Linked DNA regions of Oryctolagus cuniculus. The protein of the gene in region 1 interacts with the protein of each later gene in a pairwise test. Links are inferred from orthologs where the notes say so. Each region holds a gene or a part of one and is shown in the gene's direction. Other genes may lie near its edges. The genes, in order: LPXN, HOXC9 and POM121.

Evidence for each region.
Region 2: the proteins of LPXN (region 1) and HOXC9 interact in binary tests that used the Homo sapiens proteins (3 or more experiments, as listed by UniProt). The two-hybrid records come from large-scale screens. The link is inferred for Oryctolagus cuniculus from reciprocal best matches to the Homo sapiens genes LPXN and HOXC9.
Region 3: the proteins of LPXN (region 1) and POM121 interact in binary tests that used the Homo sapiens proteins (3 or more experiments, as listed by UniProt). The two-hybrid records come from large-scale screens. The link is inferred for Oryctolagus cuniculus from reciprocal best matches to the Homo sapiens genes LPXN and POM121.

What each region holds. Positions count from the first base shown.
Region 1 is NC_091432.1:13,564,852-13,569,084, forward strand, and holds the start of LPXN (leupaxin), read left to right. Parts: upstream 1-1,303; 5' UTR 1,304-1,367; coding exon 1,368-1,380; intron 1,381-4,233. UniProt on the Homo sapiens protein: Transcriptional coactivator for androgen receptor (AR) and serum response factor (SRF). Contributes to the regulation of cell adhesion, spreading and cell migration and acts as a negative regulator in integrin-mediated cell adhesion events.
Region 2 is NC_091442.1:56,963,154-56,967,488, forward strand, and holds HOXC9 (homeobox protein Hox-C9), read left to right. Parts: upstream 1-1,405; 5' UTR 1,406-1,558; coding exon 1,559-2,096; intron 2,097-3,748; coding exon 3,749-3,993; 3' UTR 3,994-4,312; downstream 4,313-4,335. UniProt on the Homo sapiens protein: Sequence-specific transcription factor which is part of a developmental regulatory system that provides cells with specific positional identities on the anterior-posterior axis.
Region 3 is NC_091450.1:50,656,878-50,659,755, reverse strand, and holds the end of POM121 (nuclear envelope pore membrane protein POM 121), read left to right. Parts: intron 1-478; coding exon 479-601; intron 602-719; coding exon 720-817; 3' UTR 818-2,287; downstream 2,288-2,878. Other genes in the region: NSUN5 (28S rRNA (cytosine-C(5))-methyltransferase), read right to left, coding at 2,359-2,470, 2,557-2,697, 2,824-2,878. UniProt on the Homo sapiens protein: Essential component of the nuclear pore complex (NPC). The repeat-containing domain may be involved in anchoring components of the pore complex to the pore membrane. When overexpressed in cells induces the formation of cytoplasmic annulate lamellae (AL).

The sequences.
Region 1 (4,233 bases):
CGAAAGCCTCCGGGTTCCGAGGGTAGAAGCCCCACAGGAAAGAGGACGGAAACAAGATCCGGGGTTCCCGTTCTAAGTTCCACATGAATCATTCAGTTAAACCGTAGACGAGTGCCGAAGGACGTTTTCCTTCCCATGTGTTGACTCAGTTACCACGTTAGGCTAAAAAATTATGTTGGTATTGAGTATTTGGGGACATTTTTTCATTTCCGTAAGGTCATTTCCAGTTGTAAAAATTGTCTAGCCCAGCGTCCCTGGCAGTGTTTCCCGACCGCTTTCTCGGTGAGCAGACTTTTAGAACAGCACTGACATCCAATGGCTGCTTAAAGTAATACAGAGAATTTTTTAAGTCATACAGTGATAAATGGATTATTGGTTTTTTTTTTAAAAGACCCCAGTGTTGTAGAAGAATGATACATTCTGTTATTTTAGTACGATTCCACAAACCTATTTCACCACTGGGGAAATGGGATAAAATATATTTAACAGAGCTACAATTAAAGCTGTTTACATACTACCTTCTCAAAGTAGGCTTTTTGTAATGTTTTATTTCATTTAAGGTAGATGAAGTCACAGGAGTAAAAATGGTGAAGAGTTAATTTCTTGTATTTTTCCGACACTGCTACACAGCTGTGTAACTAGGCCCAGCTGAGATATTTGCAGTTTAAGCACGCGCGATATCTTAAAACTTTCCAGTTTCCTTCTTCATGCCCCTTGTAGATGTTTGCATTTGAATCCGCTCAGTCAGCCCCTGAGATCCAAACATGAACCCATTTATGCCTTGCTTTTAATGGATTTTCAGTCTGTCTGTCTAGGAAAACAGGTAAGCATAATTTCTGAATAACTAAGCAAATACAGACTGCAAAAGTAGCTGGGAGCTAGTTAACTGCTATGGAAATTTTAAAAGGGATTCGCCTCAATGGTCCCCTAGGTTCACAGAAGGAAAAAAATAAGGCAGAAGCCCAGGCACAATGGGACATGTACCTTTGGAAGAAAACCACATGTGTGAATGGGCTATTCCCATGAATTCAAGATGAATCCCAGCATATAGTAGGTGCTCAAGTTTTGAAAAATTAATTTTGGATCTTTATCACCATAGCCAATGCACTGCCAGAACTTAAATCTTAACAACCTGCCTTTCAAAGTCAGTCTCCTTTTAAAAACTGTGACCTACTTAAAAAGTAGAAGAAGAAGAAATGCACCAAATCAAAAGAGAGGAAGTGCTAAGCAAATACAGTAACCAAAAAGGGTTATAAAGGCTGCATTACGTTGTCTTGTTCAGTTCCTTTGCGGTCTTCTGTTCAGCACATGCCAAAAGCAGTTCTTCTTCACAACTGGTGAGACCGGAGCATCCTGGGTGTGGGGCCATGGAGGAATTGGGTGAGTGAGGAGCTTCTTGGGAGAAACAGAGGGAATGAAGCAGCAGCCACCATCTCTATGTGCGGGGGTATACTTCTAGTTGTTTGAGGGAGATGTTGGAAGATTTTATTTTCACTTTTGTCCTCTGCTCAACCAAGAGGGAACTGAGGAACTATGATTGGGAACATTTTGGGTTTACTCTTTGTAGTGGCACAATAGGCAGAGAATTCTGTGGTAACCACAAAGTATACTCCAGACAAATACCTTTGGACTGAATCACTTCAAAATTATCATTTTATTATGGGCATATTCTTCTTTGAGGGCTCCTGGAGATACTAGGTTGGCCACACAGCTGGGCAACGACAACCGGGATCTGGGTGAAAAAAAGGAGTCAGGGATTGGCAAATGTGTCACAAGGCGGAGACATGGAATAGACATTCGAGAAAGGGATCTGCAGAGGTTGGAGAAAGATCAGTGTGGCTTCAGTTTTTTGTGATTTAGTATTAAATCAAAAAGATATAGTGGCGTAACTCCAATGAGTTTTGTTGCTAAGCTTTTTATTCAGAGAAATTCTAAAAGGACGGATTACTGTGGCATGACAATATAATGCTTCTTTGCACTTCAAGGCAATTAAAACCACCAGCAGAGCCATCAGTCATGTTACCTAGAGAGAAACCTTATTTCAAACCTTTGGAGAATTATGTCTCTCATTGTTGGGACTCATTCCATAGACTCTGCCAACTTTTGTTTCTGGCATCCTAACCAAAAATAACCTTTACCCAATTTCTCAGCTCTGCTGATTGCATGGTCTCCTGTGCTTGTGCATGGTTGAGATGTATCAAAAGTGCAAACAACAAAAACCACAGCTTGCAATTGTATTTTTTTTAAAAAAATTGGAGTTAAATTGATTTAAGAGCTGAAGAAACAGGAAGAAGGGCAAGTAACTGGAGAGAAGAGATGTTACTTAAGAGAAAAAAGGAGGTGTTTAATAAGTATTGAACTGTTTTGGAAGCAAAGTCTACCTACCAATACATTGATACTAGGGTAGACTAGTTTAGGACTTGATTTAGAATCCAAATTCTTAGGCTGTGTGAGTGTTGGGAGAATTTGAATTTCTGTATGTGCAGATTTTTAAATATAATTTTAAGGATACCTAATTTCATGTAGACAGTTCAAAAAGGGAACCGATATTTATTCAGTGACTTAGGCCAAAACTGACATTTTCACATTTGTTAACTATTTCCAGTGTCTGCAGCAACCCTCTGAAGTAAGTATTACCCACTTCACTCAGATGAGTAAACTAAGAAAAACAAAGCTTGTTCAATATTACTGTAAGGAGCACCAAAATCCATTATTCTAAGAGTTCTATTTTATTTTACTTTTTATTTGAGAGACACAGGCAGACAGACAGACAGAGCTCCCAATCTCTGGTTTATCTCCCAGGCTCAATCCAAGTTTCCTATGTGGGTGGCAGGAACCCAACTACTTGAGCCATCACCTGCTGGCTCCCCCAGTGCATATTAGCAGAAAACCGAAATTGGGGGAACTGAGCTGGGACTTAAACTTAAGATCTCTGATACAGATGCTGGCATCCCACGTGGAGGCTTAACCAGTAGGCTGAATGCCATCTCTTCTATTTTAGAAGTGTCATTGCAAGCGTTCTAACTAATGTGATAACTCAGATTTTAAAAATTGTGTTGGTTGGTATTTTCTGAGCAGTTTGGATGGTAAAAAAAAAAAAAAAAAAAAAAAAAAAAAAGTACTGCCCAACAATGTAGAAAGCATTAAAGCATCCTGGAAGCTAACATTTGTGTTAGTTGTACTACTATTAGCTGCAACTCAGCACGCTGTTGGTAGCTTCACCTTAGCAGTTTCTTCCAACTATCATCAGCCCATCAGTAACCGTCAAGATTTGAGGTGGGTTTTCTTCCAGTCTGCAGGGAAACAGTAACAGACACAATGGCTCAGACAAAACATTTCCTCTGTACAGTACTGCCTGGGAGGTTGGTAGCTTGTATCTATCTACCCAGTCCACAGGGATGATAGGCGAAAAAGGAACCAGGAGCAGGCACTGGCTCCAAATCACAACTTGTGGAGACCATGTCCCACCTCAAAAAACCCTACTTTACTTTTCTCTAGTTTATGTGTGGTATTATTTGATTTCCACAAGTAAAAGATTATATAGATAAAGTTTTCAGATTAGTACTTCCCTATCTCCCAGCACCCCCCCCACACACATAATCCTGCATTTGTCATACTGAAATTAGTCATCCTCAAATTACATAAATTGGCCAAAGGCCTAATCTCCGGGTGTTGGTGATACATACATGCACAGGAAGCAGGAAGAAGAATGCCTGCTAACTCATGACCCAGAAGGCCAGCTTGAATAAGTTTGATTAGCTGGTGCTTTTAAGGGTAGCTCCCTACCCTCAGTGGTGTGCTCTCCTTGTTCCTATAATCTCTATTGTATATGAATTTTTATTAATCCAGGAGGATCTTTGATTTCTGATTGGAGGTAAGCTTAGAAAATAGAAAAGAGGCTCTACTTTTATTTATTTTAAATAATTATTTATTTCGAAAGGCAGAGTTACAGAGAGGCAGAGGTGAGGTGGGGTGGGGGTAGTCTTCCATCTGCTTGTTTATTCCCCAGATGGCCGCAACAGCTGGAGCTGGGTCAATCCAAAGCCAGGATCCAGGAGCTTCTTCTGGGTCTCCCACATGGGTGCAGGGGCCCAAGGACTTGGGGCCATCTTCTACTGCTTTCCCAGGCCATAGCAGAGAGCGGGACTGGAAATGGAGCAGCCAGGTCTCGAACCTGTGCCCATATAGGATGCCGGTGCTGCAGGTGGCGGCTTTACCTGCTACTGCCACAGC
Region 2 (4,335 bases), on another chromosome or scaffold:
ACTGTATCTGTGGGGCCGTCACCTGCCCCTATCCTCCCCCCCAACACCCCTGTCCACTATCCTGCACCCACACTGGCCATTTCCTGCTTGCCTGAAGCCCACCCCACCCCCCTTGACTGAGCCACCCGGGGACAGTCTGATGGGAAGCAGAGGACTGGGCAAAGAACCCCAAATTCAAGGAGCAGGGTAGCAGCCCAACTTATGGGGGAGCAATCTAAGTTGTCTGATGCTCTCCCTGCGATCATGGCCGCCCCTCCAGAATCCCTGCATCCGACCCCCAAAAACCTGCTTCCTCCCTCCCCTCCGTTGCTTTTTTCCCGTTCCAAAAACAGCCTACAATTTTATTTAATGAAAGACACATTTATGAACAATCAAATGATCCTCATAAAAATTTTATTGAAGGACGTAAAAACAAGCTACTTGCCCACGACCGAGGTCGCTCTCTCGCCTCGCCCGCTCTCACCCTGGCTCTCTGCAGGCAGAGCCCCGGGAGTGACTTCTTTTTTTGGGGGTGGGGGGTTGTGTCGCAGAGCTGGAGCTGGGGGCAGAGGCGGGCTGAGCAGGAAGACGGGATGCGAACGCTCCCCACTTAAGTTGTGCAGGTCTCTCCTCCACTTCTTCAAGCTGGCAAAGAAACGTAAATAGATACAGACAATAAATTTAAAATAAAGGCGCTTGTGCTCTCCGTGCCAACGCAAAGAGAAGACTTCCGAGGCTGATGACGGAGGGGCCTGCGAGCCCGAAGTTGCACCCCTCCCACCGCCGGGCCACCTTCCCCCGCTTCCCCTGGCCCAGATTTGGGGGGCTGAGCCGGCCAGTGGCAGGAGGGCGCTCCCCGGTCCCTCCTTCCCTTCCTCCAGTCCCCTCCCACCCGCCCTCCCTCGCTGCTGCCGCGGCTCCTGAGAGAAATACATACAGACACACTATTTAAAATCGCATTTTTAAAAAGCCACGTTCCGAGCTGACAATCGCTGGGCTCGGCTCGCGCAGAGGCTGCGGGCGCGTCGGGGCCGACAGAGACGGATTACGTCAAGAAATAGTTCCTCCACCTACCTCGGCCGGCTCCCCGCCCCTGCGGGCTCCCGCGCCCGCCCGGCCCCGGGGGTCCCGCAAGCCGGGCCTCGGGGAAGCGGTGGGGGCGGGCGGTCCCCCCCGCGTTCCCCCCCAAATCCTCACGCTGTTGGGGCGGGGGAGGCCATCTGCTTATGGGTGGACATGGGCAAGGGGCGTCCTGTGGCGAGGTCTCAGCCGTCCTGAGCGGAGGGCCGGCGCCTGGGGTCCGGAGTTGCGGACCCCCAGGAAAACGCGGGTCGCGGGGATCAGCAGAGAGAAGAGGGTGGGAGGGGGGGGTGAGAAAAAAAGCAAGGGAAAAAAAAAGCCCCTGCGCATTGATCCGCGCCGTATTTTTGGGTAAATACGATCACGTGGGGGCCGGGGAGCCAATGAGCTGCGGGGAAAAGGCTGGAAAAATAATTACCTGCCTTGATTGTTCTGTGAGCAGATAAAAAGTACATATACAGTTCATACAATAATCTTATGTATGTAAAACCCTGTTACGATGTCGGCGACGGGGCCCATCAGTAACTATTACGTGGACTCGCTCATTTCGCACGACAATGAAGACCTCCTAGCGTCCAGGTTTCCGGCCACCGGGGCTCACCCCGCCGCCGCCAGACCCAGCGGGCTGGTGCCGGACTGTAGCGATTTTCCGTCCTGTAGCTTCGCGCCCAAGCCGGCCGTGTTCAGCACGTCGTGGGCGCCCGTGCCCTCGCAGTCGTCCGTGGTCTATCACCCGTACGGCCCCCAGCCCCACCTCGGCGCCGACACGCGCTACATGCGGACTTGGCTCGAGCCGCTGTCCGGCGCCGTCTCCTTCCCCAGCTTCCCGGCCGGGGGCCGTCACTACGCCCTCAAGCCGGACGCCTACCCCGGGCGCCGCGCCGACTGCGGCCCGGCCGACGGCCGCAGCTACCCGGACTACATGTACGGCTCGCCCGGGGAGCTGCGCGACCGCGCCCCGCAGACACTGCCCTCGCCCGAGGCGGACGCCCTCGCCGGCAGCAAGCACAAAGAAGAGAAGACCGACCTGGACCCCAGTAAGTTGGGCGCAATTTCCCTTTACAACCGGCGCGGGCGGGGGTGGGGGGGTAGCCGGATTACAGCCCCTCGCAGCGGCGCAGGGAGCGCGGGAGAGGGGCGAGGGCGAGGGGGCGAGGACTCAATAAAAGCGAATTACCTTAGGGAGCTGGGCAGGGGCAGGAAGATCTGAGGAGGGGGCCCAGGGAGCCAGGTTAGGAGAGAGAGGGCCTGGGGGGGCTCCTCGAGCAGGAGCTGACTTTGATGAGCGAGACCCCTGTTCTCCACCACCACCACCCAGCCTCAGCCTAGGCTTTCTGGCTCAGTTCTCCACTTTCGAAGAAGAAATGCATTACAGAGCCAGGGGAGCACTGGGGCGGGGGGCGAGGTTTATTTTGGGGCTTTGAGATGGGATTGGGCACAGAGGTGAGGAGAGAGGAAATACCCCAGAGAGAAAAGCCACCCCCCTACACCTGGCAGTCAGCCTGGGGGTCTTCCCCCCCTAAGGAGAGAGCCACAGCACAGGAAAGGTCTCTGGACTGCTCCCCCAGGGAGGCTGGGACAGTTCCCAACCTGGGAACTTGGAGAGCTCAGGACTTGCAAAGAGAGAAGTGGGGTGGTCCGAGCCTCCTTAAACTTGAGAGCCCTCTTCTGAAGGTCTGTCTGCAAGGAGGAAGACTGCAGGATGGGGGCTCAGGGATGAAGAGGGGTCAGGAACCCATGCCCCATGCTGGGGACTCACTCCCAGCCCAGCCAGGGAGAGTGGAACCCCCTGAGTGTGGCAGAGGAGGGGGCTTGGCTAGCGTAGGTGGGGGGCAGGTGGGAGCCCCAGGGTCAGAGAAAGAGGGAAGGCGAAGCAGCAGGGGCAAGCTGCAGCCCCCTGGGTGTGAGGAAGTACTTGGGGGAGTCCTGAGGGGCCAGGGCCTAATTCTTTCTCTCTGAAGCCTTCCATCCCTGCCCTCAGCTACTCCCAGAAACCTGAAATTGGAGGCTTGGCTCCCACAGAGCCTGTCCTGGGGTTGGCAGGAGGGGGGCACTGGAGGCCAGCAGGAGAGCTGAGATCTGGGCAGGGGGATGCCCTCCCCAAGGCCAGCAACAGCTCTCTGGGGAGAGGCAACAGTACCCTGAGATTTCGCCTCAGCAGGGTTGCACCCAGAGCGAGCGGCGCTGGAGCTGGAGAGGGTGCATGGGGTGGGGTGGGGGCTTGGGGGGACTCTCAGGGCCAGGAAGCAGAGCTACTGAAACCTCAGGACTTGGTGGTGGGCTGGGAGGGTGGGAGGGGGCAGAGGAGGAGGGAGGTGGGGAGGAGGGGGACCTCGCTATAAAAATAAAAAACAAGAGAGAGAAGCGTTTATGGGCCTATGAAGCGGTTGGGAATTTGGACTTTTTATGAGGATATTCTCGAATTACTACTCTTGAAGCTGAGAGGACCAGACTGTAGGGGCTTTGAATAGCTTCGGATTTCCTACAGTTTTAGGAAACTGAAAAGGGGGGAGAAGGGGGGGGCAGAATGAAGGAGGAGGAAGGGGGGAAGATTCCTACAGCAAAACGTGTCCAAATTCAGGTTCAATTCTTGGGTTTGGGGAGCCTGGCTAAGCCTGGGGGTGGGGAGGCACAGGTCCTAGGCTACAGAGGGGGCTCCGCTGACCCCTGTCTGTGTTTGGCCCTCCAGGCAACCCCGTAGCCAACTGGATCCATGCCCGCTCCACGAGGAAGAAGCGCTGCCCCTACACCAAGTACCAGACGCTGGAACTGGAGAAGGAATTTCTCTTCAATATGTATTTAACCAGGGACCGTCGGTACGAGGTGGCCCGGGTTCTCAATCTCACCGAGCGGCAGGTCAAAATCTGGTTTCAGAACCGGAGGATGAAGATGAAAAAGATGAATAAAGAGAAAACCGACAAGGAGCAATCGTAAACCCTGCCCCAGCCTGGAAAAAGCAAAACAAAAACAAAACAACAAAGCAAAACAAAACAAAACAAAACCCGCAGAAATATCCCCATGCAGGCGGGAGAAAGCACGGAAAAAGAAAAGGAAAGAGCAAGATAGAGAAAAGCCAATCAACTTAAAAAAAAAAAAAAAAGAGGAAGGGGAAGAGGAGAACTCTGCGATATGGGAGGGCTCAGTGTTGAGAAATTGGTGTTTTAGAGTTAGTTCTACCCAGCAGGGAGGAGGTGCGGAGAGACCCTCGCCCTCGGCCCCCAGCGCAAGTGAAATAAATGACACACACAAATGTGATTTTTTTTTCCTCCTTTCTTC
Region 3 (2,878 bases), on another chromosome or scaffold:
GGTTCGGACACGTGGCAGGCTGGGCAGAGGAGCAGATTCAGGCAGCGAGGTCGAGAGACCACACAGTAAGGCCATCAACACTGGTGACAGATGAGGACAGGGAACCGCGTGGCGGTTACCAGGTGAACCGGCAAGGACACGGAGCTGATGAGGATGGGGGGGGTGGAAACAGCATTGGGGAGCAGGCAGACGCCCCCACACACACCTTGGGCCCTGAGTCGTGAGCACCAGAAAGCCTGGCCTGCCTTGGAGAGGGCAGGTACCGTGAGGACAGCCGTGGGCCACAGCGGTGGGTTTTGTGGGGATGCTAACGAGGATTAGTCCTGGTGGAAGCTGGGACCTGCTGAGTGCTGTGCTGTGCGGTGGCAGCCGAGGGGACAGGGACCGACCCCACTCTGCAGCTGCACAGAACTCTGAGGAAGCCGGGGCGGTGCCCGCTGCCCCCGCGGCTCCACAGTGCTCTGCCATCTGCTTCTAGGCACCTCCACGCCCACCTTTGGTCAGAACGCCTCTGCCCCCGGAGTGGGCGCGTCGGGCAGCAGCCTGTCCTTCGGGGCGTCCTCCACGCCCACCCAGGGCTTCGTCGGCGTGGGAGCTTTCGGTAAGCAGCAGTGGGCTTGGCTTCCAGGCTCTCGCGATGGGCGCCCCACCCCTGCCTGCGCGCTGGAGGTGAGGAACCCGGGCACCGGCCATCCTGATATGTCATTGACTCTTTCCAGGGTCGGCGGCCCCTTCCTTCTCCATTGGTGCGGGATCTAAAACCCCAGGGGCCCGACAGCGACTGCAGGCCCGAAGGCAGCACACTCGCAAGAAGTAGCCTCGGTCTCCTGCCTGTCTCCCACCTCCCCCCCACCCCACCCCCGTCCCACCCGGCACCCAGGCCCGGACTCTGCCTGCCAGGAAGAGCCTCTGACCCTTGGAGTTGATTGAGTAAACTTCTCCCAGACCTCCGGCCTCGGCCGCCAGCAGGGAGGGGCAGCGGCGGGGGCTGGCCCTTGACTTGAACAGTCGCCCTGGTGAGCCCCTGCCTCCCGCCTCCCCCGGGAGCCCCGTGCACACTGGACGGGACTGGGAGCGGGCTGCCTGAAGCTTGACCTTGCCTGGCTGGGCTGGAGGAAGTGGCTCCCCCGCGGGCCCCCGAGGGGACCCTCTCTCCCTGTTTCTCGCTGCTCTGTTCCTCGCAGGATTTTCCCTCTTGAATGACCTTGAATCTAGCTTTGCCTTGGAGCCCCCAGAGGGTGCCGCTCCCGCTGCCCCGTCCCCTCCTGCCAGGTCACTCAGTGTTTTCGTCTCCCCCTAAGAGCTCGGCGGCTGAAGACTGTTAGCCTGGCAGATCGGGGGGGAGACGCCGCGCCCACCTCCGGGCTGTGTCTGCCTCTCGGGGATTGTACGTTCTAAGCCTTGTCCTGTGTCACTAGTCCGATGCGCGTGTCTATCGCTCTTTGAACCGAGTTTGGAGGAAGAATCAAATCGTATGAGTGGCGGCATGTTGGTAGTGCCGGACTTGTTTCCCGACTGTCCTGGGGCCTCGCTAATTGAACGTGGCGGTAACACCGCTTCACGGCCACGCGTGCTGACTCCTGAATTCTCCAGTGGTGTTCTCACTCTAAGGGCTGGCAGCCCACGAGGATGGGCCGGGGGAAGCAGAGCCCTCCATGGAGGCAGGCACCCCCGTCCGCGTCAGGAGACCTGACGTGATGGCCCACGACCCAAGGTGACCTGGCCGCTCTTCCCACACAGGTGCCCCAACACCGCCCCTCCCCCAGGCCCAGGCGCCTTGCTGCCAGCCCAGCCTCTTTGGGAGAAGTGTGAATGCGTGTGTCTAAATTAAAAAAATATTTAAACATTTTTTAACAAAATAAAAATTTATTTTTGTATTTAAGCTAAATTGCCTTTTAAATTCCTTCAAGCTTGGTTCACTGAGGTGGTTAAGTGTAAATGCTGACTAGGAGTAGCGTAGTGAGTTCTGCCTGTGCGTGGCCCGGGCCGCTCCTGGGGCTGTTTTAGGAACAATGTGATGTAGGCGTGACCCCCCCCCCACCCCGCCTGCAGGTGTCGCGCCCGGCCACTTTACCTCAGCTGCACCTGCACAGGCAGGCCAGCGGCCAGGGGCCCCTGCAGGGCCCGAGTGAGTGAGAGGGTGAGTGGATGGCGTGCGCCGGCAGGGGCTTCCCGTTACGGACACACGGATGTAATTCCTGTTGAGTCTAGTTGGAATTTTTAGTATGAATGTGAGATTTTTCTCCTTGCTTATGTCATTAAGAATAAAAAACTGTGATCGATCTCAGGCCCTGTCCTGCCTTTTCTTTCCCGGGGACAGCCACCGGGTCCAGCCGCTGGGGGACAGCACAGCCGCTGCTACGGCCCCGGTGCGGCGCAGGGGTCACCTGCCGCTTTCCGCCGTCTCTTCTTCCTCTTGGGGCCTGGGCTGAGTGGTTCCGGGGGCGACGCTGTGGCCTGGGAGGCTGAGCTAGAAGAAACGGCCCCAAGTTACGTGTGCCCCCCACCCCATCCAGCATCCTCCCGGCAGGCCCCATCCCCTACCCACGCCCTCACCTGGGTACTTGCACCCTTTCGAAGACAGCAACGAAGAAGCCGCCGGTGAGGGTGGTCTCGGGGGAGGCCCGGAGGCAGTGTTCAGCACCTGGGAAAGTGCCGAGGCCTCGGTGGGGCCAGGCAGGGAGCACAGGAGCGAGCCTGCGGAGAGCAGCGGCTCAGGCCCGGGCGGGGGGGGTGGCGCAGGCCGGGGCGGGGCAAGGGCCCGGAGGGAGGGGGCGCAGGCCGGGGCGGGGGCGACAGAGCCCGCTGCACCCACTGCCGTACCTGAAGGTGCCTGGGCTCTGCTGCAGGGCCGCCTGCACCACGTCCTCGTTCTCCT